Linked DNA regions of Drosophila melanogaster. The protein of the gene in region 1 interacts with the protein of each later gene in a pairwise test. Each region holds a gene or a part of one and is shown on either strand. Other genes may lie near its edges. The genes, in order: CG10462 and Mdr49.

What was found.
Region 2: the proteins of CG10462 (region 1) and Mdr49 interact in a two-hybrid assay, tested with the Drosophila melanogaster proteins (one large-scale study listed by BioGRID).

The regions. Positions count from the first base shown.
Region 1 is NT_033779.5:19,726,847-19,742,540, reverse strand, and holds CG10462 (uncharacterized protein), read left to right. Parts: upstream 1-6,560; 5' UTR 6,561-6,704; coding exon 6,705-6,774; exon of another isoform or gene 6,775-6,907; coding exon 6,908-7,029; intron 7,030-7,319; coding exon 7,320-7,541; intron 7,542-7,599; coding exon 7,600-8,071; intron 8,072-8,128; coding exon 8,129-8,902; intron 8,903-8,950; coding exon 8,951-9,378; intron 9,379-9,471; coding exon 9,472-9,796; intron 9,797-9,864; coding exon 9,865-9,890; 3' UTR 9,891-10,461; downstream 10,462-15,694. Other genes in the region: Nf-YB (nuclear factor Y-box B), read right to left, coding at 5,818-5,907, 5,961-6,268, 6,333-6,405; Lar (Leukocyte-antigen-related-like), read right to left, coding at 12,379-12,447, 12,516-12,821, 12,892-13,002, 13,069-15,694.
Region 2 is NT_033778.4:12,934,991-12,952,174, reverse strand, and holds Mdr49 (multi drug resistance 49), read left to right. Parts: upstream 1-5,827; 5' UTR 5,828-5,999; intron 6,000-6,929; 5' UTR 6,930-6,987; coding exon 6,988-7,089; intron 7,090-7,154; coding exon 7,155-7,348; intron 7,349-7,407; coding exon 7,408-7,653; intron 7,654-7,786; exon of another isoform or gene 7,787-7,942; intron 7,943-8,036; coding exon 8,037-9,598; intron 9,599-9,773; coding exon 9,774-10,219; intron 10,220-10,322; coding exon 10,323-10,931; intron 10,932-11,001; coding exon 11,002-11,751; 3' UTR 11,752-11,852; downstream 11,853-17,184. Other genes in the region: CG44250 (uncharacterized protein), read left to right, coding at 1-2, 297-329, 826-1,682; CG44251 (uncharacterized protein), read left to right, coding at 1-2, 2,089-3,521; Sans (scaffold protein containing ankyrin repeats and SAM domain), read right to left, coding at 11,858-12,023, 12,093-13,088, 13,179-13,400, 13,464-13,607, 13,700-13,722; CG30487 (uncharacterized protein), read left to right, coding at 13,905-14,501; SCCRO3 (squamous cell carcinoma-related oncogene 3), read left to right, coding at 16,222-16,396, 16,475-16,612, 16,676-17,009, 17,066-17,184.

The DNA.
Region 1 (15,694 bases):
CGGAAAACGATCAAATAAACAGGATCTGATCTGGCCGGGCAGCCAGCTGCTTTTAATCTTATCGCAATTATATTAAGCATCCTCAAAGCGAAAACAAAACAAGAAGGTAACATTTGGAACTCTCTCAACAACTCAATACAACACCGACCTGTTGTATACCCACTTGTGTGCACCAGGAGAATAGTCAGTTCCGGTTCTTCCGTTTTCTGAGCTATGAGAATACTCTAATCCAGTGGTTAGTAAATACCCAGATGAAGCCAAGTCTGGTTAGCACGAGCTTTGCCTTATTCCAGTTTTACTTTGAACCCAAAGCTGTACAAGAAACTCAGCTTCTGAGGTCGGCGGTGCCAACATTGTTCCTCGGCAACGAGGAGTATTTGATTCCGAAATACATTGAGGAGGAGTATTTGATTCCGAAATACATTGAAATACATTTGGGAACACTACTGCTCTGTACTAAGTTGCTTTCGGAGCAAGGATGAAGGTGTCCTTCTATTTGAATACCCGGACGATTAGGAAATGCGCGGAAAATGGGTACACCGGTGCAGTCATAACCTAAAGCCAATCGAAAGCCAAAGATTCCGGTTGTGCCAGCCCCATTTTTCTATTGACTGCTTCCGCTTGTTTGTGAAATCAATGCCAACTAAAATGTTATTCCATTGCCTGGTGACAGGATGTGTGAAGGATACGGATGCTCCTTTCGGCTTTCATAAACTTTCAAAGGTCCCAGTGGAGCTAGATCCGTGGGCCAAAAACGTATTAATTCCCTATTCTGATCTCCTGCGAGACGATATTCGCGTTTGCCATCGAAACTTCGAGATCTACTGATTTACGAAGGACCTGAGACTCCAACCTGGATCGCTGCCCACATTACTCCTGGGCCACGGCCAAAAAGTCCAGTCTAATCCACCGAGTATTATTCGATCGGATAGTCTGAAGTTTGCATGTATTGTTCCCGGCTGTGGGCGCATTCGGCAAGCTGGTGACAATTCGTTTTCCTCCTTCCCAAAGTCCCAGCAACTGACCAGAAAATGGATACACAACATTGGATTAGAGGCCACCTACAGCAAAGTGCAGACAAGTACGATTTGCCATGACCACTTCGAGGAACAATGTTTTAGGATGTGCCGTGCAGTAAAACGAGTGGAGCCGAGTTGCATGCCAACCCTGAAACTTGGCCACCTCGATCGCGACCTTCACTTGTCCAACTTCAATTACCACAAAAAAAATTATTACAGGATTAGCATTAATAACTTCATTCTTGAATGGTGTTTTCTAAACTGTTTAAAGATGTATAGAACTTGTTACGTACTATGTGTGGATAATCTACGCAAAACCTGGCTGAGCCACACGATGCTGAGTCTTTGGCCTAAAAAGAAGTGAGTTTGATCTTTCGGATTCCGATTCAAGTGACGAGGAGTCTGAAGAGGAGCCGGAAGGAGAAGATCAGTCCTTGGAAGTTTTAGAACTGCACCCTGAACAAGTCGTGCCGTCAGAGCAGAAGAGGTACTGTACATATCGCTGCGCCGTTCGAGGGTGCAAGACCACCTTCGAGGACGTAATCAGAGCTTTTCGTCTACACAAACTTCTCGAAGATGAAGATTACACCAAGATGTGGCTACACAACACAAAAGTAAAAATGGCCAGATAAGACTGGCGCAGCTTTCGCATCTGCAGCCTCCACTTTGATGAGGATTGCTTTGTAGGCTCCAGGGTAAAAACAAAGACACTAGAATAACAAGATGCGTAACGGCCATACATTGGTTTGGCACTATGCAGCCACTTTTTTGGTGACGGCCAAAATTGCTCTCTTTCCGCTCGCTCGCGCTGAGAACGTAAGAAATCTAAAAATAGAATTTGCTTGCTTGTGTGAGTAAAAACAAGAGACGAGAACGCGTATATGTGTGCGTGTTGTGCTAGAAGACGATTTTCGGGCCGAAATCAATTCTGATCTAAGAAATGAATTTACATTGTACATATTAGGGTAGTTTTTTTGCCAATTTCGTAGCAATATGATAAAATAAAATAATTATAAAAAATTCGCGCCCTTGTTATTATAATTTTAAAATTTTAATTTAAATTTTAAAATTTTTTAATTTTAAAGCTTTTTAAATTCGTTTGTTAAAATCGCCGCTCGAATTAGCTACCGTTTACATATTTATATTTATGTTCATAATTATTTATGTGTAATATGTGTAATAATCGGTACCCGGGGAACACCACGGGGAGGCCATTACAATTGTAATGGGGTCTTATATTTACGTATATGACCTTCAAGTCGACTTGAAATATTTTAATGTTTAACATTAACATTTCCATATTCCCCAATTAAGTTATTTTTCTAACTATTGTTTTTTATTATATATTGCTCGATTTTTCAGTCGTCAGTTATTTAAATATTAATATTTAAATAAAATAATATTTATTTATGAGATAGAATGCTGAGCTTAGCTTGCTTTTTTTGTCTATCAGCTATCACAGTCCACTTACAATGCTTAAAAAGCAAAACTTTTATAAGTTTGTTTAAAAGATCTGTTCTATGTGCATAACATTCATTATTTTCATAAAACCATAATGAGAAGGCACTACTTTCATTTGTGCACTTAATGCATTGCTCAATAATACATTTTTTTATACACATTTGTTTTTTATTATTTTTAAAAATATTTTCGAAAGCTTTAATGTGTATTTTGCAAACATTAAAAAATAAATCAGATGGTGCCTTTAATTTCCCGAAGTCCGATTCTATTGAGTAGTTTTTCTCATGTATAAAAAGCTCTGATGGAGCTGTTAAATGCTCGGTTTCTTTTAAAATTACCGATCTGCATTTATCGCAACTGGATCCCTTAGCAATATATCCAACAAAATATCTACTGGAAGTTAATTCAATGGGTACATCATTGCACAAAGTTATCTATATTTTGGTCAAAGTACCTCTCATTGTCTTGCACGATTTTGGAAAATGATACAGAGTATTCTTGTTGCTGTATTTCTTTTTTTCAACGAAAGGCTGATATATTATCGAATCGAACTCTATTGGCAACATAACATCATCTGATTCGCAATTCGACTTTTGTGAAAATTTAAAAATGTGTAGAGATATGAGCTTGGCAATTATTATATTAAATTCGTTAACTGAAGGATTTCTGCAGTTACCACCTTTTGCTCGAACGCACGCAAATATATTTTCAAGGGCATCCTGGTTTAATCTACTAGTTAAAAAGAAAAAGTGGTCTGTGTGATCCTTAAAGAGATCTTCGAGGAGTCCAAATATAGCTTCAGTAGTTTGGATCAAGCCATCAACACAATATATTTTATTCCCGTGATATTTAACGCTCTTTAGGTATTCCTGCATTTCCTTTAGTTTGTTCCAAACTCCATTGTTAACTTGGAGCGCGAATTTCATGGGGTTTTTGTCAGTTAATACTCTGCTATTCAGGCAATCAAAGTAATCATTAACTTTTTGGACAAATGCAGCCGTAGAAGCTGCAACTTCGGAACTATTTCGATGTAATTGCTTGTTTTGGTTACAAGTCTTAATTGCCGCTGCAACAGTGTGGCTAAGTGTTTGAGTTGCCAAACATACGCGCATTAGATCAAATCTGGTTGGATTAACGTGACTCCTTGTTAATTTAGTCATTCTCGTTACTGATCCATGATCTAATTCGTAAACCTCTCGAATGACATCAAAGTCAACTAGTCCGTCAGGGGTTTCAAAATTAGCTCTTAGAAAATTATTCCTTACAGACTTGAAAAGATGCGGAATGTCATAAAACATATAATATTTTTTATTATTTAAGGTAAAGTAAGATTTCTCATTGGTGACTTTAAGTAATGAGGTACATTTTCTATTGTTACCTCCTTGATCGTACACAACACCCCTTACTTTGAACCCAATTGTTTCAGCAATAATAATATTTTTATAAATAAGACTTTTTAAGCAATCGCCTTTTATATTCGTTTCGGCCACAAAATAGTTTAATATAAATTTCCATTTTTTTTAAATACCCCGAACAACAAATACGCAAATATGGCTTAGGATTTTATTAGAGCGATCAAGTAAATGCTCTATTCCATCTATTATATCAACTGACACATTGTAAGTTAGGTTTTTTTTATCGCTACTTCATCACAAGCCAATATGCACTCTTTATCAGATGCATTCATTTCTTTTATAGATTCTTTAAGGGCTGAGTACAAACATTCGTTGTCTCCTGGCTGTAACTTTTTTATGCTGTTCCACTTTTGCAAAGATGATGGACTTGGAAAATTTAATTTCAGCGAGTCTCTTAAGAACGTATATGTCGAAGTGGACCTGTAATATATGCTCTGAGCAAACAATTTTTTTTTCCATCTTGTATTTGTGCCCTTTTTTCCTTAAAAAGCATTTTCGTTAATATTTTTTCATTTCCTGTTAAATTAATTTTATCTATTTCAGAATATATGTTTTTTTCGGTCTTAGATTCCAACCTAACTTATTTTTTTTTTAGGTTTGAGTTTTCTTTCCTCAGCATTTTAATTCTAAACTGTCTCTCTAATTTGTCTTTGTAAAATAAATAAAAATATGAAAACTGTTTATTGCAAAAGTCACATCAAAGACACTAGAATTATTCTAGTGTCTTTGTTTTGGTCATATCTTGAGGCACGAAGTGCGGACACAAGCACTCAACAATCATTGCCTTATTAATTTTTCACACGCCGCAAGCTGAATACTCTAATGACAAATATTCTAATATAAAGTAATTTTTGAAATTTATTTTGTTATGATATGTACATGGATTTGGCTATTTCTAATCTGTTTTCAAATAATAATAACGTTAAGGCAATGCAAACAAGAATTTTTCGCATGATGCCAATTGATCAAAAATAATATAGATTTAAAGTCTAAGAACTTCTACGGTGAAGGGCATATTTTGTCAAATTTACAATGCATGAGCATACGTGTGCACACATAAAGTTGTCTGTTATCACTGTATGCGTAGAAAAGAGCTGTTCGCTGTAGCGCTCTTCGCTCTCTCGCTCTCTAACAAAAATTCCAGAGAGCCTGGAGCCACCTCTAGAGCCACGGCAAAAAAATCGTGTGCCAAAAAATCGTATGGCGTTACGCATCTTGTTATTCTAGTGTCTTTGGTAAAAAGGTGGGCAGTGCCATCGCTTCGCTTGAGAAGGGCGCCCTTGGGATCGAAAACGCTCCACTCGTAATTTACGAAAGTGAGTGGATAGCCAAGAAGAGAAAGCCTCCGTCCCGGTTTCCTAGGGCAGTGAAGGATACCGGCTAGGATAATATAATTTTTAGCAGATTGCTTGTATTACTTTCTATTACTTATGTAAGTATGTGAATGTCGTTCCTTGTCAGCTACAGCTACGGAAAATGATCTACAATTAAGATAACTCGTAAAATGTTTTTAATATTTCACAATATTAGCCCTTACCAACAACAAATCTAGTTTTTATATTAATGTTTACTAAATAAACATATTTATTTTATATAAGAGTATCAGTAATTTGGCTTAATGGGCCCGCGATACATAAATTCATGTTTGCTACCAGTACCAAGACCTAAATATTGAATTTGACTATGTATCGGGAGAGTAAAAATGGATTTATGCATATAAAATCTGTGGTTACAATTAAAATAAAATCATATATCATATATACAAAATAAAAAATTAAATAATCAGAAAGAATAGTAATGATAATATTAACTTAAATAGTCAATCAAGGTGTACTGTTAGGATTAAACAAAACACTTTGAATTAGACAAATATTTCCTTAATGTCAAAAGAACCTTAACTAACAGGGTAAGTAAGAAAGGGGTTACTGTTTCCCCGCATCGTTTGCGGAGGACCCATCTTCGTTGTGCGGATAACTGGCGTCCAGAAAGAGATTACGATCCGATTTGTTCGACTGCAATGGGTTACTTGGTTATTAACTGCTGTGCATAGCGTAATCTCACTGACCTCTCGGTACTTTTGCAGGTAAATGGACAGTGGTTCCACGTAATTGTCGAATCCCAGATTGCTGAACGCCACCAGCAGGTCGTCCCCGTTGACTGTCTTGCGATTCTCCGCGACGCTACGTTCGATGGCCTCACTGCTAATGAAGGATATGAACTCGGAGACACACTCCTGGATGCACTCTCGTGCATCCTTGGCTATCTTGCCGTTCTGGGGCACCGGAACCTTCATGATCTTAATGATGTTGCAGATGGGCAGAAATCGGTCCTGTTCGCGTAGCATTATCCCTCCATCCTGTTTGTCCGAATCGTCTGCGGGGGTGAAAAATCAAAGTCAAGCAACAAAACACGCGGTTGTGGATGGTCTTTTGTTTACCGCCGGACGCCTCGTCCTCCTCCTTGACCAGCATGTCGTTCAGATACTGCTGCGAGTCCTCGCTATTGCTCATATCTTGGATTTTTAACAGATTTCTTCAACGGATTTGCTTTTGTTTACTTTCCCAAATTGCGAGGGCTATCGTCAATCGATAACCACCCCAAGTGGTGAAGGCTGACCGCTCCACCCGATAATTGCGCCACTTGATCTGGCAACGCCGCGCCTATCGATAGTCGTCTTCTGATCGCAGCGGTATACAGCGGTATTTATTGCGCTGCTGCTCTCTTCTTTATATTGATAGTTGTTGATCTGATATCCTCTGATCAGAACGGAATTCTCGCGAATTTGGCGCTGGCCAAGGGGGAAATTGACATGGAGGACATCAAGATCAAGATGGAGCCGCAGGACGAAGTGACGGACAGTTCAATCAGAATTCTGAGCGGTAAGCTTGCATGCTCTCCTCCCACATGCGTGTGTGTGAGTGCTGCTGGGCGCCGTAGTGTTGGTGTCTCTGCTATTCTATTACGCACTTTACCGTTAACTTTTAATTCTTTCTAAATTCGGCCAATTTATAGCATGTGATACGCTGAAAATTTTGGACGAGGGATCTCAAATGATAACAGTGCCGATCAGGGATCGTTTGCGTTCCGAGGACGAGCGCCTATTTATCGCCAGCCTGGAACTCGGCCACCAACAGGTAAAAAATATACATGTACATAACCTAAAAAAGCACAAGGGTCGCGTGGTAGCGTGGAGATTCCGTTACGGGATCTAAATATTAATCGAAAGGAAGACATAACTGTCATAAATCTAAACATATATATTAAACATTTTGTCATAATTTTACAAAGTATCATATTTAGGCTGCATAATAAATGTAAATATATGTAATCATAATTATCTATCTAAATTCAAGCTACATGTATATGTACGATTTTTGCTAACGCATTAATACAAAATTTAATCAGCTAATACTTACACCCCCAGATATTTGCGTCTGAATCGGAGGACAACCCAAATCCAAAACATTGCGATATTTGCCAGTACAAGTTTAAAAGCCAACAGGATATATCAAGTCACCGGGTTCATCACGAAATGAACCTACATTTTTGTCGCCTGGGCTGTGGTATCTGGCTGGACACGCTTGAAAAGATCCTTGAGCATGAATATCGCCAGCATTTCCAGCCAGGGCGTGTGTTGTGCTGTAGGGTGAGCTCATCTGCATTTAACTTTTATACACACATTGATTAAACAGTGAACGTTTTAGGTTTGCGATTTTATGGCCAATAGCGCGGACGATCTGGCCAGCCATATGCAAAAGCACATTTACGTATATCGCTTTGTTTGCTCCATTTGTCGTCGGCATTTTGAGTCCAAACAGAGCCTCAATCTGCATAGGAAGCAGAGCCAGGACTTTTGCAGCCTGCTGGATTTCAGAAAGGGGTCATCATCAAAGCCGGAACTTGTGGCAGTTAGTACGCCGGTACCTGAAGAGTCGAATTGCTATGTGCAAATAAAAGAAGAGCCACTTAACGCAGAGGAAGCAGACCGAATGCTATTGGAAGACAACCCTCCACTCAATGTAAAATTGGAACCACAGGACGAGGAAATGCCAGATGTGAGTAGGATTAAGGAGGAACAGTCAAATGGTAGCGTCTGGACAGCCATACATACTCCGTTGAGGAATAAACTGCGCCTGCCTGCTCTGGCCACTACCAAAAATCAGATGCACTTAAAACGTAAGTTCTTTGCAATTAATAACAAAAGTAGTTACATAATTATTACTACCTTCTCAGCAGGTGTTAAGCGAAATGGACTACTAACGTCTAATGTGGAATCTCTTAACAAGAAATCCAATCACTCAGTGATATCCGATGATGCGAATATTCCGATTTCCAACCAAGAACCTTCAAATTCCTCAATTGCAGCCAATATACTGAAAGTGTTACCTAGTAACTGCATGGTCATCAAGTTGCCTCCCAACACAAAAATTTTTAAGACGCCAGGTCAAGCTCCGGCTGCCCCTAAGGACTCTCCCACCGTAACTCTGAGTGGTACGGAGAATTCAACCAATTTCATAAAGATTCCGAAGACGATAAGTATAAGTACTGTCGGTTCCATGGGTAATCCTCATGCGTCTGCTAAGACTGTGCAACCAACCCAAACTCACAGTCGATCATCGTGCTTTCTTGTCGACTCGTTTAACAATTCCAAGAGCAGACCCGAATCCATGAAGATAATCAATGAATTTCGTAATCAAATTCGGTCCATAGAGAAGACATTGCCACTGCCGGGAACAGTGCTACAATCCTCGAAAGTAACGATGGATGAATCAACGTCGTCTCCCATGGATGCACCCAAACCCGTAGAACTGATGCTCAACCCGTCGGCTTTAATGGTGGCCAGGGAACTGGAGATCCAATACCCGCTATATCGATTTATGTGGACTTGTCCGCTATGCCAGCGAATGTTTGAGAAGCATTGCGCATTTCGTGCGCATCTGACTAACAAGCACGACTTAACCGATGAAAAGTGTAACGTCCTTAAAGTGGTTTTAATGCCTTCTAAAAGTAAGTAAACTAAAATTTTGAACGTGCTCGTTTTAATTGCCCTTGCAGTACTTTCACAGGACTCAGCAAATGCTGCAACTCAAAGAGTGCATGTGCCATTGAATCCACAAACGCCTGTGCCTCCTCCAGAACTACCCAATACTGTTAATTTGCCTTTATTGCTAAGTAAAACGTCTGCTCCATTAACAGGCCAGACATCAGCACTATCCAATGTGCCTGTTAACAAAGGTTTATCCCCGACAAGTATAAATATAGAAAAACCAAAGGTCTCCAAGAAGCCCAAAAAAAATCAGTCGTTCCAGTGCACCGAATGCTTAAAAGTGTTTACTACTTTTGGAGCCTTGCGCATTCACAAGTCCATACACACGGGGGAACTGCCTTACCAGTGCAGCTACTGTGACAAACGTTTCCGAACTCCTGGACAAGTGCGGGTACACCACCGTCGTCACACCGGAGAGAAACCATTTAAGTGCAAGGTGAGAAGGTATAAGAATTGAGCCTATGCTTACCTTAGCGAAATTAGACATTTGTTAATTGATTTATTGCAATTTTCTGTTTCCCCTTTGCAGATATGCTCGTTAGACTTTACTCACCGGGAAACTTTAATTTCCCATCTATCACGGCATATTGGGATGAAGCGGTATAAATGCTACGGATGCGATAAATACTTTGTAGTTGTCAGCGGCTTACGAGCTCATCGTCGTCTCCGGCCAGACACCTGTGGGAAGGTTAAGTTCACCGCTCGAGCCCATGGTCCCCGCGTGCGGGTCATCAGGGGAGAGGTGGTGTTCCAGTATCACCCAGAGCACAACGGCTACTTACGCAGTGAGGACCCGCTCAACATTTTGTCCCAACGTGATCAAACCAACTCAACCCCGCCAGAAACTGCAATAGGTAAGTCGTTATCAGTGAGTTGTTTATTTATTTTATGAAATATTGTCTTTTTTAAACTGGCTCATAAGATACAGGAAATGCGATTAGGAACTAGAAAGGAACATTGCAGGATGGTATTGAAAATTCGCTATAAAGTCTGGAGAGGTATTCCCACGGAATAGTGCAGGAAAGGGTCTGGCTACTCATTGTATTAAGATTCAAATGAATTAATTAATAATGGCAATTACTTTTGAAATACATTCTATTCAAATGTGGACGTGTATGTTGACCGTGAAGGAAGATGGCTATGTTTATTGTTAGCTTGAATACCAAACGAGACCATCATTGTAAGGAATATGGATATGGACGTGACAAAGTATTTGGCGGCACCACAGGGCTCACAGACTCATCATAGTTGGCTCGTAAAATCTTACTTGGAAAGCACTACCCCACCAGCCGATTGACCAGAGATTGCTCCCTCTGATTACAATTTTTCCTCATGATGGCTCATGGCTTGGCAGGCTTCTTCGTCTATGATGTATTCAAAAATGGATCTGTTAATGGATTCGTCAGAAAGACAAAAATAAAAAAAAAACAAAAGTAGTGGCTAGCGATAAAGAAAATACTTTGTAATGATGTAAAAGTATAAAATAAACTACCATCAAATACCTTTTGAAGGGTAAATTAAAGGCTCTAAACGGTTTTTATTTTCGTCTTTTATTATTTTTCATCATTCAGTTTGCAGTTTTTTGAAAATGATATATTATTTGCATGGTATTTTTAAACATAATATGACATTCTTACCCATACTTTAATGCGAAATACATACGCTCTTCTGTTTGCTTGATTAGTATAATCATTATATTGTTTGCTTGTTTGTGTATCGTATGACCTTTAAAATTGTTTTATCTTTCTATTTCGTAAAACATACAAAACAATTAATTATCTTAACAAAACTTGACAAGCCGGCAGATTGTGTAATATACAATATAATCGTACATTTCAATTTATGTATATGTTACGTGTAATACGATTGCAACTCTCTGCGGGGGTACCATTATCTAGACATCTATTTTTGCTAGCGCTATAGTTTAATTTAGTATCTCTCGGTTTATTCCAAATACGCCCAGCCGTCCAACATCGTCTCAAAATTTACTACTTCCTAACACTTCCGATCCAATTGGCAGGGGCAACATGCTAGAGTAGTTATAACAAATACCTTTATTTCGTATAAATATTTAGTTTACATATGACTATGGTTGTTTAACATGTGTTTCAGCTAATAATTTAGTGTTTGCTTTTAAGCATTTGCTTGCTAACTCTTTATATATTTATGTATAGTTACGAGGCCGAATTCAAACGTTTTGCAAAACAGCTTATCAGTTATATACATTATTATGTACCTTAAGAACTATTGCCAATGTCTCGATTTTATGTTTATGTTTATTTATAACCGCGTGTGTCGCTCTATTTTATGGTAAAAATTATATGCTACAGTACATATCTACAGTTATCATTCTAATCTGTTCGCTCGGTTATTCTCTATGTCTTCATACACCTTAGGTACAATAACTTTTCATAGCTTTTCAATCTAAATTACACATACATAAGTGGCTAGCTCGGGTATCGACTGTGGTATATACAGGAATGTACTAGGGAACTGAATAGAAGTCGAGGGAATGAGGTTGAAGTTAAAATAGCTGCTTGGCTGGAAGTTGCGTATGTGATCTATCATAATGGTCTTTGAAATTTGAACTGTCTGTTAGCTACCAAGACATCGATCAGTCCATAAGGTTCGTCATCTTTTGCGGGGAGATCAAAACGTAAGTTGTGTTTGAAAACTAATTTTAGAATCTAGCTGCCTTATAAAATATGCGCTATGCAAGACTTTTGACTAATTGCACGGACCGTTTATACTGGTTTCCATTAACCAAGGCATGAAAACTGATTAACATAGCAGTGTTTGATTGATTGTATTATATATTATAATAGCGTCTGGAGTTTGCGCCAAATCGCCAGAAGTTTTCGATTTACTTAAAATGGCTTCTACTTTCGACCCTTTGCTTCCGTTCGAGATTCGATTTAGGCGGTAAGACTAATAGCTACCAAGTCCTTAGTTCAAATATGTATCGGTTTCCAGTGGCGCCCCTCATTCATGGTCACTCCGGCGGCAGTACCACGAACAACAACAAGTTGATTGACATCCTTCTCCATTAGCGAGCAAATCTTGATGCACATACTCGTACATAGAAGTGCATGTGGGTTGATATATAAGGTTTTGATAATTAAACGTGTAACAGTCTTCTTTAGTTTACATTATCAATAAAATAGAACGCAATATATAAGATCGAGTCCCCCAAAGAATCGTAATGGTAACATAACCTGCGGGCGGGGGTGCGCTTATCAACTAAACATATCCACGTATATAAGTATAGGTGTATTAAGTAAGTGTGGGCAGTAGCTGGCTATAATACTTTAGAGTTATGATATCCGTGTATATCGTAAATGCGTATTATGCGTAGAGTTCGAAATAAGTATGCAACGAACGCAGGGTCGATGAGATTTTAGCTCTGTGGACCTGGCAATCCCATTGAGAAATGCACTCAGTTTGTATAATTGTCGAATGAGCCCAAGTACTCCAGTGCAGCGCGATAGCAGAAGTGGTATTGATCCTATGGGAGTTAAAAAAGTGAATGAATCCACTTTCCTTCATCGGTTTAGAAGCCAGTGCAATACCCACCTCGGTTTGTACCATAGCCGGACGCTGGGATCGCAGTATGCGCACTGTCTGGAAGACGTCCAGTACTCCCTCGTACTGCATTCGTTCCAGAACGATGCTCAGAGTGATAAAGACACCCGAACGTCCCACGCCCGCCGAACAGTGCACGGTAATGGGTCCATCCTGGCCAAACTGCTCCTTGGTCTTGTGCACCTGTCCGATGAAGTCGATGAAGCCCTCGCCCGACTTGGGCACACCCTGCTCCGGCCAATCGATGAACTGGAACTGGCGGACGGTGCGCGATGAGCCATCTCGGGCATCCGTGACCTAGTTTCATTGAGGTAAATTAAATTAGTTTCATGTTGTAAGCCAATCAAGTCAAGTGAATGGTGCTCACCTTAAATTCACGCAGCTTATACTGCGGCATGTTGTACTCAGCAATGGGATCCACGACATAATACTGATAGCGTACGGATCGCTCATGAGGCCAGTACTGGAAGCACTTTTCCTGTGGGAATGTATTGGTTAATGGATATGAATAATCACTGTATTATGGTGCAAGGGGGGAGCTTACCCTTCCCATTTCCTTGAGCTTGGTCAGCATGACCACAATGGTGGAGTTGTGCTCCCAGAGCATGCGCCAAAAGTCCTCAGCGGCATCCTGGACAGGACCCTGTGCGGCGATGTATGCGGAACGGTAACGATAGCCGTCGATGAAGCTGGCGTTGACATAGTCGCTTCCCTCGATTCCATGGATGGGGGTCAGGTAGACGCGACTTGACTCGTACGGCAGAATGTGGACCAGGCGATTCTTGTGCTTGTTGCACGGCAGATTGGCCGTTACGAACTTGGACGAGTCCATCTTGACGTTAGACAGCTTCTTGAACTCCACCTCCATGCCCGAGATGGTCTCGCCGGGCTCCGTGATCAATAGTTTCTGTAGGTGGGTGTGTAGATTGCGAGCCGGCACCTCCGTCACCCCACAGATGATGGCCTCCAGGATGGCGTCATGAATGAAGATGTACTGATCCTCCGTCTGCACCATGTAGTTCCGTTGCGCCCGTAAACAAGTAACATGCCCATAGATGTCGATAATCTTCTCGTGCTTCATTCGTTCCAACATTGAATCGATTACGATATAACAGCCAGTGCGACCAACTCCCGCAGAGCAGTGAACAATCACGGGTCCGGATTCCGGTGGCGTGAGGGCGCGACACCGGCGCAAGAACTGAAGGAAGGGCGCCGGATGATCGGGCACTCCATGATCTGGCCAGGCTGTGAACTGCAGCTGCTTGATCTCACGCCGATCGTTAAAGCCCTGCCGGCACAACTGGAAGGTGCGGATGCTGTAGGTGGCCAGTTCCTGTGTCTCCGTGATGGTAACAAAGATCTGACCATAGGTTTCCGTTCCGCGAGTGGGCCAATACTGATCGCACTTTATGCGCGTTCGTTCCTCCAATCGCGTCATCATCACAATGGTTGCCGTCTTCAGTTCCCAACACATGCGCCAGAAGTCGACAAAGGTCTCCTGCAACGGACCTTGGGTCGCCACGTAGGCATTGTGCTTCCGATAGCCGTCACAGTAATTGGCATTGATGTAATCTGATCCAACCACACCCTCCACCGCTGGCAACTGGACGCGTGAATGATCGTAGGCGGTAACATTTGCATAGCGATTCTTAGACTTGTTATGCTCCAGATTGGAGTTGTCCCAGGTGAACTGTTGGCCCGGCTCAATGCTTTCGTATTCCTGCGAAAACTTCTGATTGTCATTGGACTTGAGTCGTTCGATGTGGTTGGCAAACTCGGATATCGGTATGGGCGGATGGGAGATCATGCCGGGTGTCTGGAAGTTCAAGCGCCTCATGTCCACGGGATCGCTGGGCGTAGGTCCGGCTCCCAGGTCGGCGGCCATCAGTGGCCTTGTGACAGCTGCCTGATCCGGAGTCTTGCACGGCTGGCGACGACGCTTAACCACACAGAGAACGATCAGGGCGGTGGACACAATGAATGTGGACACCATCAGGGGCAGCACCACCCACAGAATCTCCGGTTCGTCCTTGTTGCGGTTCACCGACACTTCCGGCTCCGCGGGCCAATTGGGATCGGGTCGGTGGGGCCGCTCACCTGGCGGAGCTTCCCTCATGTCCAGCGATAGGAACTCAGAGAAGGGACTGGAGGTGTAGAGGTGCTTCTGTGGCGTATCCACAACCGCTCGCACAAAGATGCGGTAGCGCTTCTCTCGCTCCAATTTGCGATTTGTAAAGTTATGATAATCATCGCCAGATCCCAGGTGGAATGTGAACGGAATGGAACGCTGCGGGAACTTGGCTGCAATGTACGGTGCATTCGGACGCTCTGGCTTATTCCTGCCCGGCAAGAGATCATCGGTAAGGAACTGATCGGGTATCTTGTGCAGATTGGACTTGTCCTCCGGGACCACCACCAAATAATAGTGCGATATGGGTCCATATTCCTCCGAAGCCTGAGGCAGTATCACCAGAATTTCCTCGCCATTAACAACGCCGTAGAAATCCGGCTTCACCATTGGCTGAGGTGCAGCCATTTGCGTTGTGACCGTAATCTTTGTGGGCGGCCGGTAGGAATAATCCGAGGGAATGGCACTCACATTCACATTGTACGTGGTAAACGGACTGAGTTCGTTGATAGTGTGGGTCTTCACATAGTGCTTAAGGATAATCTCTCGCTTGGGAACGATCTGGGTCTGGGAGAATCCCTGCGAGTCCACAAACACCTTCATGGCATCGAAGCTGATCTTGTAGTTTACCGGGGTTAGGCGAATGGGTGGCGACCAACTCAAGGTCATCGAATGGGTGCTGACATCGTGAGCGCGAAGATTTAAGGGCACATCCTCCGGCTTGATGCGTACTGTAACCTTTTCACTAAGACGTCCCAATCCGTTCTTGAACCTCGCCGCAATGGCCACGGCATATTGGGCAAACTTCTCGAGATTAACAAGATCAGCGGATTCCGTAAGTCCAACGGTTTTCGTTTGCCAATCGTCCAGATCCTCGACAGCTGTCATGGTGTAAAAGATCTTGTAGCCCAGCAACTTGCCACGACTTGTTACCGGTTCCCACCAAATCTCCGCAGTTTGCTCCGATGTTGCCTCTGCCTGCAGGGACATAGGTGCTCGACCCATGTCACGTTCTGTCTCCACGATTAACTTGTCGCTGAAG
Region 2 (17,184 bases), on another chromosome or scaffold:
GGGTAAGTAGAATGAGTAACCTCTGATAAGTGCAACCAAAAAAAAAAAAATGATTTTGCAATGCCAAAGTCTAATGAAATAAGTGTAATTTACCTTCAAGATCATCAAAATCAAAAAATATATTGTTGCATATTAGCTTAATTAAATTCAATTTCCCAATTACGGGCGAAGAAATCCGCAAGTGCTGACCAATTCTGTTGGTATTGCGATTTTTTTCTCTGTGCACATTAGCCGGAAGAAAAGCAAAGAGCATTGAGTGACTTCTACAGTTCTCCGCCTTTCTTTGCTCTTTCCAGGCGCCGTGCAGCCAGGAGGAGTTGTGACCGTTGGTAGGACGAGTGCAGTGAGCCCAGGGTGAAACCCCTACGCCTCTGTGAAACCCCAAATCCCATTTGATCCCCGCCCCCAGACCACCTAGGCCACCCAAAACCACCCAAACCCGCAAAACCGTACAGCAAGCCAAATATGTACACGGAGAAAAAGCTATGAGAGTATGAGTATAGAGTGAATCATTATATTGTACATTGTACTTAATTTTTAATCAAAACCGTATCCATTTAATAATGCAGCTTCGGGATGATAAATGTTTACCTTTTGAAAAAGTACGAAGTTAGTAAATCTTAATCTTTTTTTTTTTAATAACAATATATAATATCTATCAAGACAATATTAATATAACAGTGATTTAAATCAATCAAGTAGAGTTTTAAGATATTTCCAATGGAAAGGACACGAAACTTACTCTCCGGTTTTCGCTCTGTGTACAGATAGGTTATCTTATCGCGTGGTATCAAACTTATCGCCCTACTGCCTTTCTCCTTGCAGACAACACCTGGGTGCACTCGTCTCCATACAGCCCCCTGCCCCCATACGCGGTTATCGGTGGCCATGACTCGGACCGCACGCCCATCTATGTGGGTCGATCCTTTCACGAAGGCGAGAATCTTCCCGCCAAGGTCGTACCGAGCAAGGGATGCGCCTATGTGGCCTACGGTGGTGCGGAGCACACGAAGACGCACTACGAGGTGCTGGTGGGTCAGGGATTTGCCTGGGTGCCCAGTTCCAGCGGTGGAGTGCCACCGAATGCGGTGAGGAGCGGAACGACGCGAACGGGCGAGCCGCTCTATGTGGGACGCGGACATCATGCCGGAAGCTTGACTGTGGGCAAAGTTCATCCATCGCACGGCTGCCTATACATTCCATTTGGCGGCCAGGAGGTGCGCATCAACACCTACGAGGTGCTCATCAAGCAGCAGCACGACGTCTGGGTACCGGCCTCGCCCAGTTACACTCCTCCGGGCGCAGTGATCGCCGGACACGACTCCGACCGTACTCCCATTTACGCCGGAAGGGCAATGCACGAGGGTGAAATGCTGCCTGCCAAGGTGGTGCCGAGCAAGGGAACCGCCTACGTTTGCTTCGGCGGATACGAATTCCAGAAGCCCAGCTACGAGGTGCTCACTGGCTACGGATATGTATGGATGAATTGCGGCCACAGCATTCCACCAAACGCCGTAACCACGGGTCGTGCTCGCAATGGAGAGCTGCTGTACTATGGGCGAGGACACTACCAGGGCAGTTTGACACCGGGTCTGATCTCGGCCAGCCAGCGTTGCCTCTATATTCCGTACGGAGGTCGGGAGATTCGCATCAACTCGTACGAGATTCTCTGCAGACAATAAGCTAAAGGAACGGAACACTACAGATACCATATGCATTTAGTCTAGATCAAACTGTTATCGCAGCCAAATAAACTGATTGTTAATACCGGAAGAAATCTGTGGGCATTTTGTGTTCCTTCTATTTTTAAAATACTTATCCCTGCAAATGTATTATACTGATATGGCCAAAATGGACTGTCGGATTAGACAGGTTTTACAAAATTTATGAGCTACGATAGTGGCTTGCTATGAAGGTCATTTCCTTATATTCTACCTTTCTTCCACATTATTTACTTTTAAAGAAATTTAAAATTACTACATCATTTTTTTGCATGTCTATAGATGAAATAGCATATTATTGGTTAGTCCTTTATGATAAACTAATCACTTCTGAATAAGCAAATAACAAAATGCATCTTTCTTTCAGCCTACAAGTGGGTTCAATCCTCGGCCTACTCCTCCCTTCCCGAGGAGGCAGTGGTGGGCGGCAACGATGAGGACGGCGCCATGATATACGTGGGCAGGGCGGAGCACGAGGGCGATATGTTGGTCTGCAAGGTGGTGCCGAGCAAGCAACTGGGATTCATTTCGCAGCGAGGAGAGGCACTGCCCAAGGACATCTTCGAGGTGCTGTGCGGTCAGAATCTGGTGTGGATCAAGTGCTACGATCATGTGATTCCGGAGAATGCTGTACTCTGTGGACGCACATCGCTGGATCAGCCGGTTTACATTGGTCGTGGTCATTATGAGGGTCATCTGATTATCGGCAAAATCTCCTCTGTCCATCGAGCTTTGTTCATCGCTTTTCGCGGTGCCGAACGTCGTCTGGATTCCTATGAGATTTTGGTGGAGGAGCGCAGAGTGGTTCCTGGCTGGCAGCTGCCGCCACCACCTCCTCCACTAGAGGAGCCGGAAAAGTGTCCACTATCGCCGCCGCCACCACCTTCTCCACCGGCAATGGCGCCGCCACTGCCGGCCAAACCATATCCATATCCGGATTTGGCTGCGATGCCATTTCCTGACAGGCCTCCGGCCTACACACCCACTCCGGATCCCATGCCACCCGTTGGAGGTGTGATGGTGATGCCGAGTCCAACCCCACCACCGCCGGCGGGAGGAGTGCTGGTCATGCCACGACCACCACCACCACCACCGCCTGCAGGTGGTGTGTTGGTCATGCCACCTCCTCCTCCATCGTTCACTCCAGCTGAGGTGGCGCCACCGCCATCATTTGTTCCCGCAGAGGTGACCGCAGTATCCGTTCCCGTGGCACCATCGTTTACACCCGCTTCCACCTATAATCCCTACGAGGCGGGATGCTCGTCCTACACTCCGGCCGAGTGTGCTGCTCCTTCGGCATATGACGCCTACGGCTATGGCAACAACTATGACGTTTGGGTATCAGCCGAACCGGGCTATTATTACTCTCCCGATGCCGTGATTGGAGGTCATGACAGCAACATGGAGCAATTGCTGGTTTGCCGGGCCTACTACCGTGGTGTCCATGTTCCTGGCAAGGCCATTCCCAGCCAGGGATGTGGCTACATAGCCCACGGGGGTCGTGAAATCATTGAGCCATCGTACCAAATGCTGGTGGGCAAGGGCAAATACCACTGGGTGCCATCCTACGGCGGAAACGTTCCACCTGGAGCAGTTGTGGCCGGAACGACACCTGGCGGAGCACCACTCTACATTGGACGGGGTCACTACTGCGGCAGCTTGACACCCGGTGTAATTGAGACCTACAACCGATGCCTCCAGATCCCATTCGGTGGCCAAGAGATCCGTCTGAGCAACTATGAAGTTCTTGTTAGGAGCGATATTTACCACGGACAGCAGGCCATCCGCCTGGTTTACTGAAGACATATTTAATCTGGAAAATCCGAGAGCAGCTAGGCCATGAAAACCCATAAACAAATTTTTTGTTCCTATAAATTATTCCAGGCATATCTTTGTATATTGTGAAAAACTACATTTTAATTATTAATTACCTATATTTATATACGCACTCAATATTAAATGCATCTAAGCCAAATGCAAAATGTGAAACTACCTCTACACACATTATATTTAACCGACATGTTTATTTACTAGTTAAGATACTTATGCACTAATTATATTGACACACTTTTAAAGTTCGTTGTGTAATAAATGTTTTATTTATTTAATGACGCCTTTGGATTTAATCATTTGTTATGGTTTGGGTTTCTTATTACGTCGGTTCTACCACGTGTAAAATAAGTTAGTAATTATACTATGACAAACAAAGACTCTTTAACATTTCCATAAACGCTTGAACAAAATCGTAAAGAACAAAGTTCTTCCGCCTTAACATAGAAATTACAATTAGAAGATGGTAAGTAAACGATTTGCGGGCACGAGAGTTTAAGGTCAAAATAATATTGTATCACGTAGAATAGTAAACTTGGCTTAATGTGCGGAATTAAAAACGCTGTATTCCCAGCTTAGCAAAGAACCCCATATGCTTGAAAACCTCCTTGAACCCACACGGGTTTTAACGATTAGACAAATCTGGCATTTCCCACAACTATCCGTTATTGGCCAACACAAGATTTCTTAAACGATTCTGGTTTTTCGACGTCAACTCGGCGCACAAGATGAAAGAGAAGAAAGAGAAAGGCGAAACAGGTAAGAGTAAATATGAGCGAATGCGTCATAATGCGCACTCTGGAAATACACCGTCAGAAAAACTTGAATATTTAAACTTGAATTTAAACTCACATTCTACATATTTTAATATTTTCACGCTTTTAATGTGTTTTTTTAATGATATGCACTTTAAGCAATTAATTTTTTAAATTAAACAAATTTCAGTTCTTTATTAAACTTATTACTTCGAAACCCATTAACATAATTAATGTAATTTTAACAGAAATATATATTGTCAGACCAAAAATGCATTGTTGATACGAAGTAATGGAAGCTCATTAAATATTAAAAAATGAACCCAAAAGTCAGATCAAAGATTGTGAAAATAAGCAACTCGCCACTGAGTAAATCAACAAATACTTTCGCCAATATTTGATATACACCTTTGTTCAAGTTCTATCCCACGTCTATAAATATGAACGAATTTTTAGAACACTAATCTGGTTTGCCGTAGATAACATAGTCGCATTGGACTAGGTCCGTAACCAAGAGAACATTTGAATGGAAACGATTTTAAACGCCTTCCAAAATAATTTCGCCATATGATGCCAAATGGTTGAAAACACCATACCTGGCCGCAATTATCTATTGGACTAACCTTGTCTAAATTGGCCACAATTCGGCTTATCTGACTTGCTAAATAACATTTTGATAGCACACGTATATACATATATTTTATTTTAGTGCCGTTATGGGCAATTCGAGTGCTTACAACTGTCGATTAGATTGCAGATGAGATCCCTTTGGAAATTTTTTGTTTTCCAAATCGTTTTGCTTGGAGACACTACCCTCTTTGAAATACTTTTCAACTGAAATGGTGAAATACCGACAAACCATTGCAAAAGAAGTTTACCATGCCCCACGATATCTCAAAATCTGAAAACAACATTATTTGTATTTTATCACACCAAGTAGTGTGATATATTTGGATTGGGGAAGTCGCCGCTGGGCAGCGTAAGAATGCCGCTACCACGCTTAAGCATCCAGGTATTTCACGGCACACCTGAGCGGCGGTATGAATCATGACTTTCGCACGCGATACAGATACAGATTTCCTCTCGGTTAGTCCCCCGATCTGGCGAATTCAGCTTAAAATCTTTTGCGCGGGGAAAACCATGCGCGCAAATGGATTACGCTTAGTCCGTTTTTGTTTTGGCCAAAAAAGACCCGACTCCACTGCATCTATGGACACGCTGGGTCAGTAAACAAATACCGGTTACGAGAGACTGATAACAAACTTACGCCGAATCGATGGTATGTACGTACAACATAACTGTCTAATCAATCTAATCTGCATCGTCTTTATGGCTCTGTTTTGGTTACAGGACCAGCGACTAGGAACCAGTATTTCCCGCCGCCTGGACGAGTGCGAGGAACAGGCGGGTTGCCAGGCGGGAATCCCGATTAGTTATACGATCGACTTTGTTGCCGCTCGAGAACCGAGAGCCGAGATTCTGGCACCGAGCTGTCGTCGCAACCATTCGATTTTGTGTTAGTCCAGTTCAGATCGCGCACTCGTCGGCTGCAGACGTCTTCTTGAGCACTTCCCAGTGCCAATAGAGCCAGAGGAAATATAGATATATGTATATATATACATATATAAAGTCTTCAGACGATCGCGAGTTTCATCAGTTTGCCAAGTGTCCACGGAAGATCGGCACGTGCTAAGTAAGTGCCATGTAGCGCAAGTGAATTTCCATTAATTGATTCAGTTTCTCGATGCATTCGATGAGTGCGTTTCGTCGACAAGTGAATAAGATTGAATCGAATCTGAGTAGCTGAGGAGTGGGCTATTATACCCAGTTCCTTGGATCTTGAGTGCAAGCCGTTCGCAATTGACAATCGCAATCAACACACAAATATCTCGCTTTCCAATTGCGCTTAATTTATTAATTTATGTACGCTTGTTTTTCATTCGCGCAATCGAGCTAATTTCCTTAAATTGACTTGGGAAAATTGTTTTTGCTGATTAATCAGCCCTTTGCTCTGCGTCGAATAATTTCTACAATATATTTTATGTAACACGTAAAGATACATTAATTATCACACACTTAAGCGTCATAATTGCTACCATTTTTATCAACATTAGTTATTTTAATGGTATTATAATTACGTGTTTCCAAGATGTTGAGATACATTGATTTCCATTTAATTAAGTGCAAGAAAAGTGCAAGTATTTCTTGTTAAGAAAAAACGAATGTCAAACTATTATTATAAAATAGTGGCAATGCAAGAAGATAAAGTTCTAGAAATTTATTTCATAACATTATGTTAAATCTGAGCCTGAATTCTTTGAAGAGTTGAAATATTTTTTAAAATTCAATCATACTTTTGTTAATCTCCCCAGTAACTTTCCTGGGATAACATGTTTGCCTTAAGAGCACTGAACTCTTTTTGTGAATTAGAATTAAGAAGATAGTAATTAGGCTTTTATAGTCGAGTTTGCAGATAAAAAGCGAGAGCAACTGGGTGTGTTTGTGGTTCTCGTGGTTAAGTTCTTTAATTGATACACTCTAAATTATAGACCCCAATTTAGAGCTTAGATATCAGGCCAGCACACAAAATGTTGTGTTTACTAATTGTTAACTTTGTTCTTAGGCTTAATTGCTATAGCGAGTATAGAGATACTTTACTGCAGTATCGCCTCATAGACACAATGGTCAAGAAGGAGGAATCACGGCTGCCACAAGCTGGTGACTTTCAGCTTAAGGAAGGATCAGTCGTGGATGCGACCCGAAAGTACAGTTACTTTGATCTGGTGAGTGGTGACTCCGCATCAGCATCGTTATAGGTTCTATATCCTTTTTGGTCTCGCCTCTATAGTTCAGATACTCAACCAGATGCGAGCGCTTCCTGTTGGTAGTCAGTCTGCTGGTGGCCACCGCTGCGTCCGCATTTATTCCCTACTTCATGATTATCTACGGAGAGTTCACATCCCTGCTCGTGGACCGAACAGTCGGCGTGGGCACATCCTCGCCAGCCTTTGCTCTGCCCATGTTTGGTGGCGGTCAGCAATTGTAAGTTCTTAATCATAAGATAGTCCAGGATTATGTTATAACGTCAAATTTTCGTTCAGGACAAATGCCAGCAAAGAGGAGAACAACCAGGCGATCATTGATGATGCGACTGCCTTTGGCATTGGCAGTCTGGTGGGATCTGTGGCCATGTTCCTGCTCATCACACTGGCCATCGACTTGGCCAACCGGATAGCCCTCAACCAAATCGATCGCATCCGAAAGCTCTTCCTGGAGGCAATGCTGCGACAGGACATCGCCTGGTACGACACCAGTTCGGGCTCCAACTTCGCCAGCAAAATGACAGAGTGAGTTTCGTCTCAAATAATATAATTATTAATAAGCGTATAATCCGAATCTTATTGCATTAAACAAATTATAAAAACCATATCAATTGAATATTCATTAGCAGAGCTAGAAAATTACGCAATCATAGTAGCAATCGGACTTATTAACATCAATATGGTTTAAATATGATTGAAACAATTTATCACTATCGCGATTCCCAGACAATTTTAGGAAGCCACCTGAAAGTTTTTAAATAAATTAAATATCTCATGCCAGTGACGTGAACTTTTTTTGTGCGAATTTTACAATGTATTTATTCAAATTCCTTTTAATTCTAGAATTAAATTCTAAAGACTTTAGAGTATTTTTATAACTCCTCGATTTTTTTCTTTGGAATTTGCAGAGACCTGGACAAACTGAAGGAAGGCATTGGCGAGAAAATAGTGATTGTGGTATTCCTGATCATGACCTTTGTGATTGGAATAGTGTCTGCTTTCGTCTACGGATGGAAGCTCACCCTGGTCGTTCTGAGTTGTGTGCCCTTCATCATTGCAGCCACCAGTGTGGTGGCTCGACTCCAGGGATCGCTGGCCGAGAAGGAGCTGAAGTCCTACTCCGATGCAGCCAACGTGGTCGAGGAGGTATTCAGTGGAATTCGCACAGTGTTCGCATTCAGTGGTCAGGAGAAGGAAAAGGAACGCTTTGGCAAGCTGCTCATTCCCGCAGAGAATACGGGTCGCAAGAAGGGTCTATACTCGGGCATGGGAAACGCACTGTCCTGGCTGATCATCTACCTGTGCATGGCTCTTGCCATCTGGTATGGTGTGACGCTCATTCTGGACGAGCGTGATCTTCCCGATCGCGTTTATACTCCGGCCGTTCTGGTCATTGTCCTGTTCGCCGTGATCATGGGTGCCCAGAATCTCGGTTTTGCCTCTCCACACGTGGAAGCCATTGCTGTGGCCACGGCAGCTGGCCAGACCCTGTTCAACATCATCGATCGTCCGTCGCAGGTGGATCCAATGGACGAGAAGGGAAACAGGCCGGAGAATACCGCTGGACACATTCGTTTCGAGGGCATACGCTTCCGTTACCCCGCCCGTCCGGATGTGGAGATCCTCAAGGGTCTGACCGTCGATGTGCTTCCGGGTCAGACGGTGGCCTTCGTGGGCGCATCTGGGTGTGGCAAGAGCACCCTCATCCAACTGATGCAGCGGTTCTACGACCCCGAAGCGGGCAGTGTCAAACTGGATGGACGGGATCTTCGAACACTGAATGTGGGCTGGTTGCGTTCGCAGATCGGAGTGGTGGGCCAGGAACCGGTTCTCTTCGCCACCACCATTGGCGAGAATATCCGATACGGAAGACCATCGGCCACTCAGGCGGATATAGAGAAGGCGGCGCGAGCGGCCAACTGTCATGATTTCATCACTCGCCTACCCAAGGGCTACGACACCCAGGTGGGCGAGAAGGGCGCTCAGATTTCTGGTGGCCAGAAGCAGCGGATTGCCATTGCCCGGGCTTTGGTTCGACAGCCCCAAGTGCTTCTTCTCGACGAGGCCACCTCTGCCCTGGATCCCACCTCTGAGAAGCGGGTGCAAAGTGCCCTAGAACTGGCCAGCCAGGGACCAACCACTCTAGTTGTGGCCCACCGACTGTCCACCATCACCAATGCCGACAAGATTGTCTTCCTCAAGGACGGTGTAGTGGCGGAGCAGGGTACGCACGAGGAGCTCATGGAGCGACGTGGTCTCTACTGCGAACTGGTGAGCATCACCCAGCGGAAGGAGGCCACGGAGGCGGACGAGGGAGCGGTTGCCGGGCGACCTCTGCAGAAGTCGCAGAACCTGTCTGACGAGGAAACCGATGATGACGAGGAAGATGAAGAGGAGGACGAAGAGCCGGAGCTGCAGACTTCGGGCAGCTCCAGGGACAGCGGATTCAGAGCCAGCACGCGACGCAAGCGTAAGTACCAGAAGTTGGAATATTTAATGCTTTTACTAACCCAAGTACCAAGACTTAAATTCGATATTAAGTAAAGAAAATAAGTAATAAAAACAAATGCAAAATTAAAAGTTCTATAAAATCGTGCACTATATTATATATATTAACTTTAAAATCCAATTCAAATAATTAACAGGTCGCTCGCAGCGTCGCAAGAAGAAGAAGGACAAGGAAGTGGTATCCAAGGTGTCCTTCACTCAACTAATGAAGCTTAATTCTCCGGAGTGGCGTTTCATTGTCGTCGGAGGCATTGCATCCGTAATGCATGGCGCCACATTCCCGCTTTGGGGTCTCTTCTTTGGCGACTTCTTTGGAATCCTCTCGGACGGTGACGATGACGTTGTGCGAGCCGAGGTCCTGAAAATCTCCATGATCTTTGTGGGCATTGGCTTGATGGCCGGATTGGGCAACATGCTCCAGACCTACATGTTCACAACGGCCGGCGTGAAGATGACAACGCGATTGCGTAAAAGGGCTTTTGGAACGATTATTGGTCAGGATATTGCCTACTTCGATGACGAGCGAAATTCAGTGGGAGCACTGTGCTCCCGGCTGGCCAGCGATTGTTCCAACGTTCAGGGTGTAAGTTTCAAGATTGAGGGTAACCATGCAGAAGCACTGCTATTCCAAGCTACTGCTTTTTACTATATATGTTTAAATATCTAACGCTTTTTCCTTATTCCAGGCAACCGGAGCTCGTGTGGGCACAATGCTCCAGGCCGTGGCCACTCTTGTGGTTGGAATGGTCGTCGGTTTCGTTTTCTCCTGGCAACAGACGCTCCTCACACTGGTCACCCTGCCCCTGGTCTGTTTGTCCGTCTACTTGGAGGGCCGTTTTATCATGAAGAGCGCCCAGAAGGCTAAGGCGTCGATCGAGGAGGCTTCTCAAGTGGCAGTCGAAGCTATTACCAATATCCGAACGGTCAATGGTCTTTGCCTAGAGCGCCAGGTCTTGGATCAATACGTTCAGCAGATCGATCGCGTGGATATCGCCTGCAGGCGTAAGGTTCGCTTCCGTGGTCTGGTTTTCGCTTTGGGACAGGCGGCTCCTTTCCTGGCTTACGGCATCTCCATGTACTATGGTGGTATTCTGGTGGCAGAGGAGCGAATGAACTATGAGGACATCATCAAGGTGGCCGAGGCTCTGATCTTTGGCTCCTGGATGTTGGGACAGGCCCTGGCCTACGCGCCAAATGTAAACGATGCTATTCTGTCCGCCGGACGCCTAATGGATCTCTTCAAGCGCACCTCAACGCAGCCCAATCCGCCACAGAGTCCCTACAATACAGTTGAGGTAAGTCAACATTTCGCCAATCGAAACCGTACATTATGTTGGAAACTCAAATTTGATTGTTTTTTTTTAGAAATCCGAGGGAGACATTGTCTATGAAAACGTGGGCTTCGAATATCCCACCAGGAAGGGCACTCCCATTCTGCAGGGCCTAAATCTCACCATCAAGAAATCGACGACGGTTGCTCTGGTGGGTCCATCTGGTTCCGGCAAGTCCACCTGCGTGCAACTGCTGCTTCGCTACTACGATCCCGTATCGGGATCCGTGAATCTGAGCGGAGTGCCGAGCACGGAATTCCCGTTGGACACACTGCGCTCCAAGCTGGGCCTGGTCTCGCAGGAACCCGTGCTCTTCGATCGCACCATTGCCGAGAACATAGCTTATGGCAACAATTTCCGTGACGATGTGTCCATGCAGGAGATTATTGAGGCGGCCAAGAAGTCGAATATCCACAACTTTATAAGTGCTTTGCCCCAAGGCTACGACACCCGACTGGGCAAGACATCGCAGCTCTCTGGAGGTCAGAAGCAGCGCATCGCCATCGCTCGAGCCCTGGTTAGAAACCCGAAGATACTCATCCTGGACGAGGCCACCTCTGCGCTGGACTTGGAGAGCGAGAAGGTGGTGCAACAGGCGCTGGATGAGGCGAGATCAGGCCGCACATGCCTGACGATTGCGCATCGTCTGACCACCGTGCGGAATGCGGATCTCATCTGTGTGCTAAAACGCGGCGTGGTAGTGGAGCACGGCACCCACGATGAGTTGATGGCACTGAACAAAATCTACGCCAATCTCTATCTGATGCAACAGGTGTCGGGCTAACACAGCGAACTGGAGTGATAATTGTTAGGCTTTAATTTAGTATGTACACTAGGCTAATTGAACATGTTGAAGTATTACAAAAAAAATAGAATGATTAGGCCAACTACTACAGTCGACTGTCTACCAGGGGTCCGGGATTGGCCAGGGCGTTACGTCTCTCCTGAATGGCGAAGGTGAGTTTACGGAATGGCCCCAGTGGCAAGCCAAGTGACTTAAGGTCCGATTCTGTGAGCAGCATCAGAGTCTCCAAGTCGATCTCTTGCTTCTGAAATCTGAAATGGTAAAGGAGGATACGAGTTGAATACACATACATTCCAGACAAATTTGGTTTTGTTACTCACACTGGCAGGTATTCTTCCAGGGCCCAAACGGCCAGGAATCGCTGCAAGGCACTTCCTCCGGCATCTCGGTCGTCGTCGTCATCATCGCTATAGATGTCATGACCGCCGCCCTCCGAGTCCGTATCATCCGAAAGGTTCAAATATAAACGACCCTTTCCTCCGCCATTTCGTGTCTTTGGAGGATTGCTGCCCGCATTCCGCATCGTGGAAGTGGAACTGGTGTCCGTGTGCAGTTGAAGCTGACTTAAAGCAGCAGTTACGGATCGACGAAAGGCAATGCTGCCCAGCATGGTGGGTCTATCGAAGAGTCCAACGGGTCTCTGGAGGGTCACTTCCTCGCTTAGTTCCTGGGTCAACTGACCATCCCCCAGAATATCCGGTTGGGAGAAGGAACGCGCTAAAGTAGAGCTATAGCCACTGCGGTTATCGCTGTGGTCCAACTCATCGGCCTCCATGCACTCAAAAACATCGCTGATCTTGCCGCGCTTGCCGACACTGTCCTCGTTGGAACTAAAGGTGCCCACATACAGCACCTCGGAGTCTCTCTGCAGACCCGTAAGCGATGTAATGGTTCGCTTTCCATCTGGCTCCACCTCGCGCACCTTGAAGCCACCGTCTGTGTCGCTGGATATCTTCGAGTGTGGACATGTGCTGCTGTGCTGCTTTTGGAGCTGCGACGGTCTCTTTTGCACCGTTCCCGCTCGACTGGCTATTGTGGAGCCACCGCTGCTGCTGCTACCGTTCCCAACCAGATCGCTGAACTTTGTGGGAGGCGGTGTATCCCTTGGTGTCTTATTTAGATTGCCCTGGCTGGACCAGATCTTCTGCTTCAGAGTGGACAGCATGTTGCCGGTCTTGCTGGAGCCACTGGGTGCGCTTAGATCCGAATACTCCGGATCCTGGCGCTGTTGCTGCTGATTCTGGCGCTTCATGTACTCCCTAACACGTTTCTCGCAGTTTTTCTCGGCCAATTCTTTCAGGGCCTTGCTTTTTTTTCTGTTAGTTGAAGTATTAGTTTTAATATATACAAAAAATAAATTATGCAAACAAAAATGCAAGCAAGTGGCAGATATTTCATAAACTTACTTTTCAGTGGCCTCAAAGTTTGTGAAGGCAACATCCAAGTAGCGCAGGATCTCGTCCCTGCCATTAATAGCCGCCAGATCCTTGGCGCTGTGCTTATCGATATCCAAGGCATAGATGTTTACTCCGAATTTCACCAAGAAGTCGACGCAATGCAAATGACCCTTGGCGGAGGCCAAGTGCAAGGCTGTGTTTCCGAACTGATCGCATTTGTCAGGGTCACCACTGAAGGGAGAGGAAAGGATTATCTTCAGTGGATATAGAATTATCATTTAAACGAATGCGTACCCCCTTCCGCACAGCAGACGCAGTGCATCCAGACGCCCCTCGAAGGCAGCCCACATGACCGGCGTCATGGAATCACTGTCCTTGGCATTCGTATCCTTCCGTGTGGCTGCTGCCAACACATCCAACAGCCCATCTTTGGCGGCTCTAAACGGAAACGATTGTACCAGAAAGTTAATGAGTCTCTTGTGCATCACCATTGGTGATAAGATAGAGTCAAATTAATTGCATGTACCCACTTGTGAAACCGATCCGATGACATATTCGTCTGTGTTATCTTTCAATCAGGTTGGCGATGGAAATTCTTGAATCGATCTGAAAGGAATCCAAGGCGAGATGAGTAGGCTGTTCATTATACTTGCCATTCCTTTCCATCACACATCTCAAGATTCTCAAAATTAGGTCACACACATAAGCGCCAACAATTCTTTACAATTAAAAAGCATGTCTATAGAAAAAATCTCCTCCGAGCTGCGTAAGATGATAATATCTGACAATCCAATCGAAGCAACAACTTTCGATAAATCTGCAATAGAGGCAACTTTGGATTCCAACAAATTCGAAGATCTACGAATTCCGAAGCATACACTGAAGCAAAAGTTTCTTCTTCGAAAGTCAATAATTGAACATCCCTTTAAAAGAATTCGTGCCGAAGGAGTGGATTGGGCTCACAAAATTCGAGACACCGACGAAGAGAAGGAATCTAATTGGGCAAAGATTGCGACTGGAAAGGTTTCTGGCAATGCCTACGATCTTAAAACCATGATGAGCGAGTGTGAAAATATTTGTGGTTACGGAAACGCCATAAACTTGACGGTCCCAAGGGTGGACAAACTACAGGATCTGGCTAAATCGATCCCAACGGATCCCGATACAGTCTACCTGACCTGTCAATGTGATGATATTTTCTCTAATGGAGGCACAGAAGCTCCGACTCAAAGCCCCGACGAAGTTAATTTCGAAGAGCTGTCCAGCTACTTCGAAAATATGCTCAACATACCCAAGAATCTTCCGCTCAGCGCTGAAATAATGTATACTTAATGATTGGAACGGTGTGTGTATTGTTATATTTAGAGTAAAAAAAGATATAAATCATTTTAGTTTACGGTTTTCTCATTTTAGATGTGGTGATGTTAGGTTTGGATCCCTATATATGCATATACATATGTACAATGTATGTATCAGATCGACTGATTTCCGTTTTGGTGTTACTGGTACCAAATGTAGACGGGGTTTTCGTACTTCTTGTCTTACTCCACTTTTTAATGTGCTTATTGTGTGGGGCTGGCCAATTAAAATAAGCCCGAAGATGAGCCAAATTCCTAAGCCTAAGCATATTGCCCTTTTTCCCAGCACTTGTACTAACGTTCACACGTTTCGAATTAATAATCCAAAAAAGAAAAAGAAAAGTGTAGCCGCCGCGAAGAATCACAGGCCCACGACACACGCACACAAGAAAACATTACCCATTTACTGCGCACGACGGAGTTTGGCTTACATACCAACGACCAACTACCAAGTTCACTCAACCTTGTTGGCTGGTTTTCGAATTGCCCAAAACAACCGAAAATCGAGACAGTCAACCATTTACTTATTTACCACGGGTACACACACTCACTTATTACCAGTTAGTTGTCCCGGTTCAAGACGACTTTTCAAATGCAGGATTTCAAATTGGATTTTCCCACTCCGGGCAGCTTGACACTTTTCTTTTTAGCCAAACGAACCGAAAGTTTTCATCTGCGATCGGTAGAATATGCACGTTCCGAAAGCCGTTACCCGGAAGCACTTTCTACCGCTCCGACTGCATGTTGTTGAATGAAATTGTTAGCTTTGCTCAAACTCGGCGCTCACATTACGCACAGTGGTCGAGAAAATGATAGATGCTGCTTAGACGGCAACTAAATATTTTAATGGGAAAAATTATGTATGCTAATGTTTTGTTTTAAATTTCTTAACCAATAAAGTAATATAAAGAATATAAATTAATAAAAACATTGTATTGAACGTATTGGTTCAATAATCGTATTTGAATATAGAATAATTTGTACGAAAATATTTAAGGTGTGAACTACTGTGCGGAATCAACTTGTATGTCCTACTGTGACTCTCTTCGACGATAGGGTGTTGCCAGACTGAAGTTGCTACGACTATCGCATCAACTAACGTAGAGCACTGCAGCCCTGGTTGACTAGTGCCGCCCTGGTCCGATTGCCAGAAAAAAACAAGACAAGTGAAAAAGCGAGATAAATCAAATTAAAAATATTGTAAAAAATTGTAGTTAAACACGCGCTGGAGCACGGTGAACTGAAAATGTGAATGAAAACCATCAATAGAGAGAGACGAGCGCGATTTGGTGGCACCAAATGCTGCAGTTGCAACCTGCACATGTATGTGTATACGCGTGAGTGTGCGTTTGCGTAGGAGGCACCAAAATAACAACAGCAATCGCAGTGACAACAAAGAATCGGAATCGGAATCGTACTTGTTTGTACTCGCACAGGACGTACTTGGAATCGGAATCGGAATAGCCACTACCATATGCCAGAGGAGGGAATCGCAGTGCCAATGCATAGTTAATAAATTTCCCAGAAGCTATACGACCAGCAGACCTCAATTGCAATTGCACGCCCCTTGACAAATCACAGTGTCTCAGCCAAAACGAAACTGGAAGCCATCGAGTGCTCCCGTTAAGCAAGCAACTGCAGGCGGAGCACGGGGGAGGAGTAGGACCTGGTGGTGCACCAAGCACGCCCGCACTATGGGCAATTGCCTGAAATGCTTCCAGTCTGCCGCCGAACAATCGATGCCAACGAACGCCTCGTCCCCCAATTCACACAATTCCAATTCCAACGCCTGCCAGACGGCCACCAGCCTTGCAAATTGCTACGAATCGGTGGGCATTAATCCCAATGCCAACGAGCGCTGCGCCTTAGGTGGGTATTCTATAGTTAATAACCGCATTGTGATCCAAAGTCTAAGAAACCTCTCTTATTCCGGCTTATGCACTCTAGAAACCGATGAACTGCTCTCTAGCCGAACTCCACTCAAGCCAGCAAAAGCAAACAATTGTGATACTAAGCGTAATAGTTTTAAGTCTTTAGGTTTGCTTAATGGCAGTGCGCCCACCATGAGCGATATCATAACAACTGGTGAGTCAGCGTTCATTCGACTGCCTTGGCGGCATACTCATTCGATTTTCTATATTCTAATAGCTGTCCAGGAATCGATGGAGGTATCGCACCAAACGCTGAGCAAACTATTCGATGTGTACAAAGATCCCGACGACGAGGAGATGATACTCACGGACGGCATCGAGCGACTATGCAATGACCTCAACTATCAGCCCGATGAGTTCGCAATTCTCGTCTTGGCCTGGTGCCTGGATGCCTCGCAGATGTGCCGCTTCACCAAGGTGGAGTTCATTGAGGGTCTGCATAAGATGAGGGCGGACACAATAGACAGTATCCGGGTGCGGCTGGAGCAGACAATCGAGATGCTCAAGGCGGACGCCGAGATGTTCAAGCAGTTATACCGCTTTACATTCCGGTATGCCGTTCTTACTGCTTGGAAGATCAGTACCTAATTAGCGTCTCAAATTTCAGATTTGGTCTGGAGCCCGATCAGCGCGTCCTCTCTCTGGAGATGGCTATTGACCTGTGGAAACTTGTGTTCACTGTACAAACACCTGATCTCTTCTCCAACTGGATACACTTCCTCGAAA